Linked DNA regions of Sus scrofa. The protein of the gene in region 2 interacts with the protein of the main gene of each other region in a pairwise test. Links are inferred from orthologs where the notes say so. Each region holds a gene or a part of one and is shown on either strand. Other genes may lie near its edges. The genes, in order: ERCC3, KPNA3 and MAT2B.

What was found.
Region 1: the proteins of KPNA3 (region 2) and ERCC3 interact in binary tests that used the Homo sapiens proteins (3 or more experiments, as listed by UniProt). The link is inferred for Sus scrofa from reciprocal best matches to the Homo sapiens genes KPNA3 and ERCC3.
Region 3: the proteins of KPNA3 (region 2) and MAT2B interact in binary tests that used the Homo sapiens proteins (3 or more experiments, as listed by UniProt). The two-hybrid records come from large-scale screens. The link is inferred for Sus scrofa from reciprocal best matches to the Homo sapiens genes KPNA3 and MAT2B.

Annotation. Positions count from the first base shown.
Region 1 is NC_010457.5:25,220,578-25,224,324, reverse strand, and holds part of ERCC3 (TFIIH basal transcription factor complex helicase XPB subunit), read right to left. Parts: intron 2,022-3,747; coding exon 1,869-2,021; intron 381-1,868; coding exon 249-380; 3' UTR 1-248. UniProt on the Homo sapiens protein: ATP-dependent 3'-5' DNA helicase/translocase. Binds dsDNA rather than ssDNA, unzipping it in a translocase rather than classical helicase activity. Component of the general transcription and DNA repair factor IIH (TFIIH) core complex.
Region 2 is NC_010453.5:17,947,273-17,951,019, reverse strand, and holds the start of KPNA3 (importin subunit alpha-3), read right to left. Parts: upstream 2,811-3,747; 5' UTR 2,781-2,810; coding exon 2,712-2,780; intron 2,400-2,711; exon of another isoform or gene 2,374-2,399; coding exon of another isoform or gene 2,218-2,373; intron 1-2,217. UniProt on the Homo sapiens protein: Functions in nuclear protein import as an adapter protein for nuclear receptor KPNB1. Binds specifically and directly to substrates containing either a simple or bipartite NLS motif.
Region 3 is NC_010458.4:60,271,376-60,275,111, forward strand, and holds the start of MAT2B (methionine adenosyltransferase 2 subunit beta), read right to left. Parts: upstream 2,854-3,736; 5' UTR 2,571-2,853; coding exon 2,541-2,570; intron 269-2,540; exon of another isoform or gene 240-268; coding exon of another isoform or gene 177-239; intron 1-176.

The DNA.
Region 1 (3,747 bases), on a different chromosome or scaffold from region 2:
ACTTAAGTATTACAAATTTTTATATACAGGAATGACCTCCCCAACAATTTTGAAAAGTAGTCTTAAAAAAACCCAAATATATATATATATATAGTCCCACCAACTTCCACTTTTAAATCTAGATGACCCGTGAAGACAGACTCAAGCTCTTGATGCATTTTCTTCAACAGTCCATAGATACTGAGTCTAGACTGGTTAGCTGATGCTACTGACAGAGCACGAATGTCCAGCACATGACCCTGTGGGGGTCACTTCCTGAAGCGCTTGAAAAGCGGGTGCACGTGCTTGGTGGCCGCCTTGCTCCGGGCTGAGTGGTACTCCATGTACACTGTGTCATCGGCCCCAGACATAGAACTCATGGTGCCAAAGCGCCGAGAAACCTGCAGGGGACACAGCCCAGCGTTAGTGTCCATGGGGAAAGACTCTCCCAAAACATTTATAATCACAGTATGTTTCATAAATGCATAAGCTTCATAGCTTTTATTGTTTTTACAGTAACATTTACTGACCACTTACTATGTCTCAGGCAGTGTTCTAAGCAGCTTATCCTTATTTACATGTCTTAACTTACCAAGTCCTCCCAAGCATTATAATCTCCGTCTTACAGAGGAAGAAACTGAGGCACAGAGAAATTAAGTAACTTGCCCAAGGTCACACAATTCTTAAAAAGACAGGACTTGAACCCAGGCTCTCAGCTCCAGCTTCCATGTACACAGACAGCCCTGAAGCAGCACCTCACACAGCCTGACCTCAGGTGGACCTATTGGAGGTGGAACTGATCACACATCACCTTGGGACACACTCAGAAAAAGCTTTCCCTGGGGCTCCTGTGGAGACTGCCTGGGAGAGGCAGCCCCCAGGTTTGGGGACAGAAAGGTCTCACTGCAGCCTGAAGCTGCAGGGAAGGTGGCACCTCCCTGCTGACACTACCTCTTTCTTGCCTGTTCCAGCCATTGCTCACCTTGTGCCTTTAAAATTAGCTCAGTTTCAAAAGTATCTGATTAAACTGTACTCTCCAGAGTTCCCATTGTGGCGCAGAGGAAACAAATCTGACTAGAAACCATGAGGTTGCAGGTTCGATCCCTGGCCTCGCTCAGTGGGTTAAGGATCCAGCATTGCTGTATGCCGTGGTGTAGGCCACAGACATGGCTCAGATCTGGCATTGCTGTGGCTGTGGTGTAGGCTGGCGGCTAGAGCTCTGATTGGACCCCTAGCTTGGGAACCTCTATATGCCGCTAGTGAGCCCCTAAAAAGACAAAAATAAATAAATAAATAAACTCTACTCTCCTTGGAGAGGCCTGGTAAGAATTCTTCATCAGTTACACTATGTTACATTCGCCTGGCACAACAGCAGGCAACTAATCAGTATTTGCAGAATAGCTGAAGAGTTGAGCACTTTTAGAGAAGTCTAAATTTTTCAAAGTATGTGCTGAAACTACAACATAAACTGTCTCAGACCCATCCCGCAGGCAAGAAGGTGCAGTTTCATCACTGAGGAGGAAGTCAGAGATGAGGGGACTCGCCCTAGGTGCGTCACGCTCCTTCCCGCTAATACCCTAGCAAGTCTGGGTCACATCTGGTACCCTGGGTTCTAACGTCAAAGTGCCAAACACTACGCCAGACTGTTGTGAATAAAGCACGGACTGACTACAGCCACCGTGGGCTCACACACCTAAAGCCAGACAGATGCACAGAACAGCAACAGGTAGTTCCTACTATTCTCTGTGTTTTGCAGGTTATTAAAAATACCATACAGACGAAAATACACACACACACACACACACACACACACACGCAAACTGTGCATGTGTATGTGTGTCTATGTCCTTCGGGAGAAATGCCATCAAGAGCCTCACCCGCTCACTCACCTGGCTGGATCTGGAGCCAAATTCCCCTGCCACCACTTCCTCCTCAGCATCCAGGTCAGTGGCTGCCAGCACCTTCTGTAAGAGCTGCTGCTGCTCCTCTTTTGTCGAGAATGCCAACTCCTCCTCCTCCATGCCTGCAAGCTTTGTGATCACCTGCAGGCAGAACCCTCTTGTTCTCTCCCTCGGCCCGATCCCACCTTCTCCTAGGTTGACCTGGTCTGGTCACTTCCCTCCCAGGCCCAGTAGAGCAGGTGGTAACAATGGAGGCTCCTCTTTGGCAGTGCAGAGACAGCTCCAGGAGCTGCCACTAACCAGGGGCTCAACTAAGGACTGCATGGCAGGAGGCTTAGGAATTCTAGAGAAATCTGCTCCCCATACAGTAAGATAACCACTGCTTACAGAAGAGCAAAAACAGGCACCTTGGCAACCTCAAGCCCACCATTTTGGCTGTTCCCCATCTTGCACAGGTAAAGGAGGGGACCTAGGCAAAGACAAGGCTTGCTGTCCCACAACGCCTTCATTTCCAGGCCTGACACTCAAGGCTTCCAGCAGGACGGAGCACTGACAAATGACAGCATCCTGAGAATGGATTTGAAAGATTTTTTTCCTAAAAGAACAAGTTAATAGCACAGTGGAGAGAGATTAGGTTTTCATTTCTTTGGAGATAACTTACTACAAGGCCTACCCATCCCTGAAGAAAGCTTGGATTGATTATGTAAAGGGAACGCTTTCTCTCGTTCTTCTCACCATTTTAATTAAAAGAAAATCCTAAGAAGGAAGGATCCGAGCCCTTCAGGTGGCCACTGACGTGGACCAGACATGGGACAGCCTTGCCTTGGCTTCATCACCACTCCTGAAACTCCAAGGTGGTGACTCGGGGAACTCTAAGCTGGTGCTCCCAGCCAGGGGGGCCCGACTAGAACAGAAAGCCATGGGCTCAGGCACCCAGAGCACCTTCGGATCTGCTGCTTCTCTTACCCAGACAACTCTCCCAGGAATCGGGAGCTATGAATGCTGTTATCAGCACAGTATTTCACAGATGGACAGAAAGGTCACAATGAAAATCCTCCAAAAAACTGTCCCAAGTGTCCTGAGCTAGAGCTCACTCAGCACAAGAAGTCTGGAAAGCATCACTGCCCCTGTTTTCTCCCTAAGGCTAATAAAGGGAACTCTATCAGCTCCCTAAACCGATGTGGAAAAGACATGATCTAAAGTATCCGAAAAGGCAGCCTATGGTCCTTCACAAATCAAGAGCCTGGGAACCTCCACGCTCTAAGATGTCCTTGTAGTCCCCTGTTTCCAACATCTCTGCACACCCCCACTAATAAAAACCCTCTGAGACATTGAATCCTGACATAATAAATAAATCCTATCTGTGTCAACAAAAGAAAGCAAATGGCTCAGCCAATGGAAGTTTGCCAGAGCTTCAGAATTTCCTGGTTGCTGGAAGACCAGACATATATGCATGGTTCTGATGTTGGCAGCTCCCTGGGACCAGGCTCAGCAGACAACTAAACGCAGAGCTCTGCCAGCTACCTGGAAGGGTTCCCCAAGAAAGTAAAACCTCAGGGCTCAGACTAGCACAGTGATGGCTACAGTACCTTGGCATCCCAAATCCTAGGCCAGCACATTTTCCCACCAACATCTAATGTTCTTTTTATAAGGCAACCATAAAGAGTTAACGACCTGATCTTGCATCAGAGGCCCCCTCCTCCACCGATCCACTGGGAGAAGCTGGAGGCAGGAAGAGCAGCAGAAGGCCCCATGACTCACGCATTGACAGAGGGAGTCTGAGCAGGGCTGCTGGACCCCAACTGCTGTGTGCCTGCCTGAGACTATTCTATGCTTATGATGACATGGCTCCTACTTCTCCAGAGGA
Region 2 (3,747 bases):
TTCCCTGGCTTAACGCCACACTGTTATTTTCTTTAAAAATATTTATTTTATTTTTGTACCTAGCATCTTATTTATGTATCGTCCAGCTATATCACTCATAATATGTTTTACCTTTTATCTATCCCATGTATGAAAAGGTAGAAATGAAAGCTCATCAAAGTACATCTCACTTTTTGAATAGCCTAATAATCACTACTACTTAGTCACAGAGCTAAGGTGCAATGTAAGTTTCTAGTGTAATACAGTTCCTAATGGATAAGACTATATGGGGGGTCTAATCTCAGTTATACCAAATTTCACAAAAAAGGCGCTTGATCGGATTTGACCCTTTAATCACATCTCCAGTATCCATCTCTCTCAGCAGTCCTACAGTCTCTCAGGACTCTTCAATTACTGCTCCCTCATTCTGGAATGCCCCTTCCTTGGCCATCTTTCTTTCATCCTTCAGGATCAGCTCCCTCCCAGTCATCCACCAGGAATCAACCAGAACTCTCCCCTGACCATTCAGCTCCAAGTCAAAATCTTCTCATGCAGTCTCAGAATACACTTATTGATGTCCTGCACTGTAATCATCAGTTTACTTTCCTATCATTCCTACTGAACTATAAAAGTAAAAATCCCTGAGTTACAAACCAAACACTGTTCGATACCCAGTAGACCAATGAATGAATGCTCATACCCACTTCATGACCTTGTGCAGACTGTATAAGCACTTTTGTGTTTCCTCATCTAAAGTATTTTCCTCCTGTAAAGTGGTGATAATGCTACACCTAGCTCATAAAGTTGTCATAAGGCTTAAAAGAGGTATCATGAAGCTCTTAGTATAGTGGCTGCCACATGGAACTACCATTTGAATGTCTGCTATTTCATGCCTTAGTTATTCTCCCTCATGTATTCTAAGAATTGTAATGTGACCGCTATTTTCAGGCTTCATATCTTTTTTATGCATCTAGAAGTCACTGATCACATTCTGACCTTTAGCAGAGATACACTGTGTGCATATTATGCAAAGGAGTCCTTACTAGGTATCACTGAGATCCCCAAACACAATAGAGGCAAAAAAAAAAGGGGGGGGGGAAGAATGTTAATTAGTTCTTCTGTACAAACAATACAAGTATTTTTCAAACTACATTAAGTTTTGCTTTATGACAGAGGTAAGCTTCAAGAAAAATGACTGATGATTACGGTTCAAAATTACCTATCATCAAGAGGACCAATAACAAGAAGCAGTTCCAAATTTCTTACTGCTATTCTTAAGTTGCACTTTTGCTTACAAGTATTTCTCACTGTAAAATTGAACAATGACCAGGACAGAAAAAAGATGACTTTTATCTGTCTCAATAATATGAAAATTCCAAGGCATTTCCCTACGTTTTTCTCCAATTACTATTTAATTTTGTGGCTCCGAAAAACGGCCTCAGTTTTGTCTGTTCTTCTACAAAACAGAACACTGAACGGTATATTTTCCCCACCACCTTCTCTCTTTAAGACAGGATAAAATGCGCACTTCTTCGTCACACTGGCCGCTTAGCAAGAATGAGAAAACTGCAAATCATGTCACCTAGTAAAAGAAAAGAAGGCTGTGGACCTGAAACCACTTTCCCCCAACAATCCAGAGGTCAGAGTCCCAGTGAAGTTTGTGCATTACACTAACTACACTGCTTTTAGAAGCTGCAGAGAGACCTCTAGCGCTGCCTGGACAAGCCGAGTTTGCAAACAGTACCTGCTAATGTCACCTTAATGAGACAATGGCAACATGCTGAGTAGCAACGAACTGAGTGAACACGATCAATGTTTACAGTTTTGCAACCACTTGGAAATTCTACCAGCTTAGCGCAAGGCCGTATGAACCTATGTATCCAATTTATTTCAGTAAAACGTTTCAAAGACATGATTACCCTATGCACACCCTCACTACAAGAAAAGGCTAAGAAAAGAGGTCCTGTGAGCGGAGGTCGGAACAACGTCTCTTCCAAAGCCTCAACACAATAGACGGTAAACTATTGTCCACCTTCAGCTTGCTCCAAATGCCAGCAGTAACAGGAGTATGAGCTGGAAAAGCAAAGCGCGACTGGTCCAAAGAACCGCACTGGAATATAAGAAAATGGTCCTAGCGCATCCTACCCTCCCCCATTCACCACCCTCAAACAAGTCAGTTACCCGGCTGGTCCCCACCCCCCTCTGCGGGCCGCCACCGCCCGCCTGGGCCCGGCTCACAGAAGGTAGGCGCGGGGACCGGCAGAGCCGAGGCTCCATGTGCAGCAGCGCGGGAGGCACTGAGGGGGCCGCGCCGGGCAGGAGGCTGCACGGGCAGCGGGCGCGAGCCGTGGCCGCCCCCTCGGCGGGGCGGTCGATGGACCCGGGCGGCAGCATCCCCCCAGCCCGCGAGGCCCCAGCCCGCGGACCCCGCCTCAGCTCCACATCTCTTCCTCGCCGACAGCAGGCCGCGCCCGCGTGACGGGGCCGAAAACCCCGGCGTTTCCCGGACTCCGCGCCGGCAGCTTCGAGAGGCGGCTGCAGCCCGGCCCGCGTCCCGCCGCCCGCTCCGCCCAGCCCCTGGCCGCGGTGACGGGAGACGGTAGCTAACTCCGACCCACCGCGAGCCGGCGAAAACCAGCCCGGCGCCGGCCCCCCGCCCCTCCCCGCCGCCTCGGGGCCGGCGCGGCCAGGCGGGCGAGCCTGGAGGGCCCCAGCAGCGAAAGCACACTCACTTCCACATCTCGGCCCTTATTCTTAAAGCTCTTGATGCGGTGGTTCTCCAAGCCGGGGTTCTCGGCCATGGCTGCGCGCGGCTCCGGCGGCGGCTACTCCTGCGGCTGCGGCGGCGGCGAGTCTCGGCGCGGGAGGGGGAGGAGGGGGAGAGCGGGAGGGAAAGGGAGGAGGAGGGGGAAAGGCGGGCACGTTCCGTGACGCCTCCGAGCGCGAGGTGGCAGCAGCGCCGGGGGAGGCGCAGGCCGACAGACGGGCGGGGCGGGAACCGTGCTCTGGAACGGCGCGCTCTTGTGGAGGCCGGGGTCACGTGTCCGGGGCGGGCTCCGGCCTGGACGCTCGCCGGGCTGGATAAGTTCCACGTGGTACTCGGGATGACCCCGGCCCCAGCCCCTCCGCAAATCCTCCCCACAACCCCGCCGGGCTTCAAGTATGGTGCCAGCAATGGAGCCGAACTTAGCAGCTTTTACTGCCCCCGGGACGCGGGGTTGCGGGAGGAAACTACAGTTCCCAGCATGCCATTCCCTAGCGAGGGTAACTCTCCCGGCTTTGACAGAATCAGAAGAATGCCGGGAACCCTAAGCGCGCGTCTTTATGCGCGGCGCGCTCAGGGAGCCCGGGCGCGAGGCTCCGCCCCCAAGGCCGCCTCTGGGCGGGGAGTGGGAGGAGCTTCCTCGGAGACGGCACCTTGCGTCCTATTGGGAGGGAGGGGGCGGAGCTTCCTGGGAGGTGCACCTAGCTCCGTGTAGCCTAGAAAATTAGAAACCGATGCACGGCTGGTGCTTTGCTCTCTTGCTTCTTTGCGGGGGCGGGGGGGGGGGAGGGTGGCACGGGGGTCTCCTGAAATAGCAGCCACCCTCATTCGCTGTTCCTTTGCTCTGCTTTAGTTTTATAATTAGCATTTATTTCCACCTGACATGTATATATGTATGTATGTGATATGTGTGTGTGTCGATCTGGTTTACCGTATCGGAATTAGCTCAGTTAGGTAGGGACGTTAGGTATACTGCTGAATCCCTCCGTTAATACAGTGCCTGG
Region 3 (3,736 bases), on a different chromosome or scaffold from region 2:
CGAGATAAACAAACTCGGCGGCGCCGCCCCAGCCTCCCGGGGCCTCAGCTCCGACTGAATGCGTCTGGAAAAGTACTCCAGCCCCACCACCAGATTCGTCCCCCTCCGCTCACTCGGTTCCCACGAGACGTCCCCCCCCCCCACCCCGCCTCCAGACCCGGGGCCGATTCCCTCACCTCCACTAACTGGCAGTTCCCGGGAACAAAGTGGATAGAGAGCTCCTTCTCCCGCCCCACCATGCCCGCCGTCTTGGCGACGCCGCCGCAGCGTCCGCCACTTCCTCCAGCCCAAGAACGCCGTAAGCCGCAGCTCCAACGCCCTAGGCCCGCCTCCCCTGGTCCGGGCCGGCCCCCTCCCACCGCTTCCGGCTTCCGCCGCCAAGACCGACACTCTTGATTGGCCACGCTCCACCGACGCCCCAAAAAGGGGGCGGGCGCGCTCAGGACGCTCCCAGCCCACGCGCCGACTCTTAAAGGGCTACCTGAAACAAAGGCCTCAGCTTTAAACCGGGACTCTTGAGTTTTGTTTGCGGGCTGGGAGGAGGAACTGGGGATGTTTATTTAGTTTTCCCTTTTCGACTAGGTAAGAATTGAATTGGATCGCCTGGACTTCCAAGTTTGTAGACTGTGCGCAGTGCATAAGGATTAACTGGGCACGTAAAACATAAAGTGGAACAAAACATTTTAAAGATATGGTAGGAGGGATGAGGCAAGGGAAGAGGAAGCACAATTGGACATGTATCCCTAGAGCAATGAGGGATCTTTGTTTTTGAGAGAGAGATTTTATAAAGAGAGGAGTAAAAATAAATGTGTTGACATCTGAGTCATCAGCCTCTGAAGAACCCATTTGTCTTTCTGGGATGCACAAAGGTAGTACGTGTGAAATTCCAAAAATGGCAAACTATTTTTAACTAGTTAAAAATAAAAAGGTGTGGGAGTCTGGGGGTGAATTGTTTGGGTGCCACTTTAAAACGTACGTTCTCGTACTTTACCAATAACTTCAGTATGAGCTGTGGAACTAGAGCCTGGGGCTCCACATTTTAGGGGATATAACTGGAGTCAAGACCACCCTTTGAGAAGCACCGCCTTACAGGCTGCAGCATTTGGCTACACAGCGGCGCCTCTGCTACCTCGGAAAATGAAAGGAACCAAAGGGGAAAAAGACCAACGGATCTTCTACCACCTGTATCACCCTTTTTTTTTTTTTTTAAAGTAACAAATTAAAACAGCCCTAAGCATTGAAGCTGACCTAGCACGCAACCGTATTTTCTTTCAGTTTAAAACCAAAACGTCCCATGCCAGCCGGGATGCCGGTGAAATTTACTCAGAAAAAATCCGAGCATGGACCGTGTAGGGTTCACCAGCTTTCCACTGAACAGTCTGAGTGTTTTTGTCCAGACACACAGAAGACAGAGACTCTAATAAAAGTCGCCCAGAAATGTTGATTACTGCTTGGATTCTTCTAAAACGACGTTAATTGCATAAAAGCTTTTTTTGGTTTCATCTTCCAGCTGAACACTAGGCAAGCAGCCTTTAAAAAAAGTTTTTCCACGTCTCAGTCCCGTGACTTTCTTTCCTACCCAACCCCCACAAGAACTCATTTCCTTATTTGTGTAAGCATCAGGTTTCTTTGGAACAATAGCAGGAGAGCCTGAGGCCCCCCCAACACTTTACAATTTTTGTTTCAATCCCGGCTATAAATCAATTAGCACTGTTAAGAGTCCTAGAGAGGACTGCCCCAACAGTAACCGCGCATAATCTGCAACAAAGAAAAGGTGTCGGTGGTACTGGGGGGAGGGATTCAAGATTCTCCCGATCCTCCTCTCTTTAAAAACTGAGGATTTTTTGTAAAGTTTACAGTGATGCGTTATAATCTCTACAAAAGAAAAAAAAATTGATTGTTCAACGTGAAGACGATTTAAGGATATGCATATGCAATTAGCATTTTGATTCTCAGAGCAGACTTATCTAGAGGAATAAAGGAATTTACTTGCCTAAATTTGAGAATCTGATATGATACTCGCCAGGGGAACCTTGGGTATGATCCCTAGGGGCATATGCTCGTATATGGGTTTTAATCATTCTTTATAAAAATGGAAATTTCAGTGTAAATAAAAACGCTATTATTATACAGACAATATCCAAGTTCACTTAGTGGCTAAAACTATAAATTTAAAAAGAGTAATCTGGAGATAAAGTTTAGGTTAGCAGATTCAATCCATGCCAAAACAAAGAAAGATAAAATCGTTATTTATATATAACTTTCACCTACAGCATTGCATTAATCTGGTAAATGAAACTACTGTTGTTTGGGATTTTTTTTTTTTTTTAATGGAGACTTAGCTGAACTCTCCATACAGGGTTAATAATTAGCTACTTCATTCTTCCAAGTCAAGTCCCAAAGTGATGTTTTAAAGAAAGGAATGACACTCATTTCTGTTTTTTCACACACCCTTTCGGTTTTTATCATTTGTTCATTGGGGTGCTTTTAAGGAAACTCTAACTCCAGAATGCTTCTTTTCTTGAATAGCTAGCTCTTACCTGTTCCATATTCTCCGGCATTTCAGGCATGATTCCAAAATTATCTCAGGAAAAAAGATTTGAGATGGGTCTCTGCCTCTGCCTTCTCGAGCTGGGTCTTTGTTCTTCTGCTTGCTGAGAGCTCAGGCACACGAAAACGTGAGCCACAGCTTCATTCGACCTTTGAAATTAGCATTTTGAGTCCGATCCCAGAATCTCGTGCAGTTTTCCACATTGCAGTAAACTGGCAGCTGATTCCCCGTGGCAGTCTTGAAAATACCCAATGAGAAGTTTCATGTTTTATTGCCAGCCAAGTGAGAGCCCATTATCAAAACCATTAGGAGAACCAACTTTTTTTTTTTCTTTTAAGGAATAAAGATACAACAAGTCTGTGAAGACTTGTTGCAGTTTTCTTTTGCAAAAAAAAGCAAGAGCCTGTCTTTGGAAAGCACCCCAGACAATGCAACTGATTCCTGTTGTGAAATATTTTATTGAGTTATGGTTTATTACAACAGAATCCTCTTGGTAAAGGTCTCCAGTGCTTTCCCCCCAGGGCTTTCTAATTAACTATTTGAAAGGATGGTAAAAACACACTGGTAGTAACAGCACCAAAAATTAAATCTTGATAGGTTTTTTCCATTAACAGTGCCCTGCCCTCTGTTTGAGGAAATGATAAATGGAGTAGCCTCAAGTTTGGCAGAGCATTAAGGACTACTAGACCAATGAGCTGCCCGGAGCTGCCAGCACAGCAGGAAAAAAATCGCTCTGTAGGAATGGAACCTAGCAATCCTACTGTTAACGATTTAAAATGTGATGAATATGCTCAGTTAAATTTTGAACCACTGCATTGACGCTCTGTAACAATTTAAGAACAACCACCAAAAAATTGCCATTCAAATAGAGCGTAAAAAAAATCAGTTAACTTTTTATATTTTACCCAGTTCAAGTACAGAGCACGTAGTTGAACTATGACACGTGCAGAGGGTCTGTCAGTGATTAAGAAAATACAGTTTTTTTAAATCTGATAAATTAAAATTCATTAGAAGTTGCCATGAGGCTCAGCAGGTTAAGTATCTGGTGTCACCGCAGTGGCTCGGATTCAGTCCCTAGCTCAGGAATTTCCACATGCCACAGGTGCAGCCCCCCAAAAAAATATATAACATATATATGTTATATATACATACACATAATTGATCAAAATTTAAATATCTGATCAT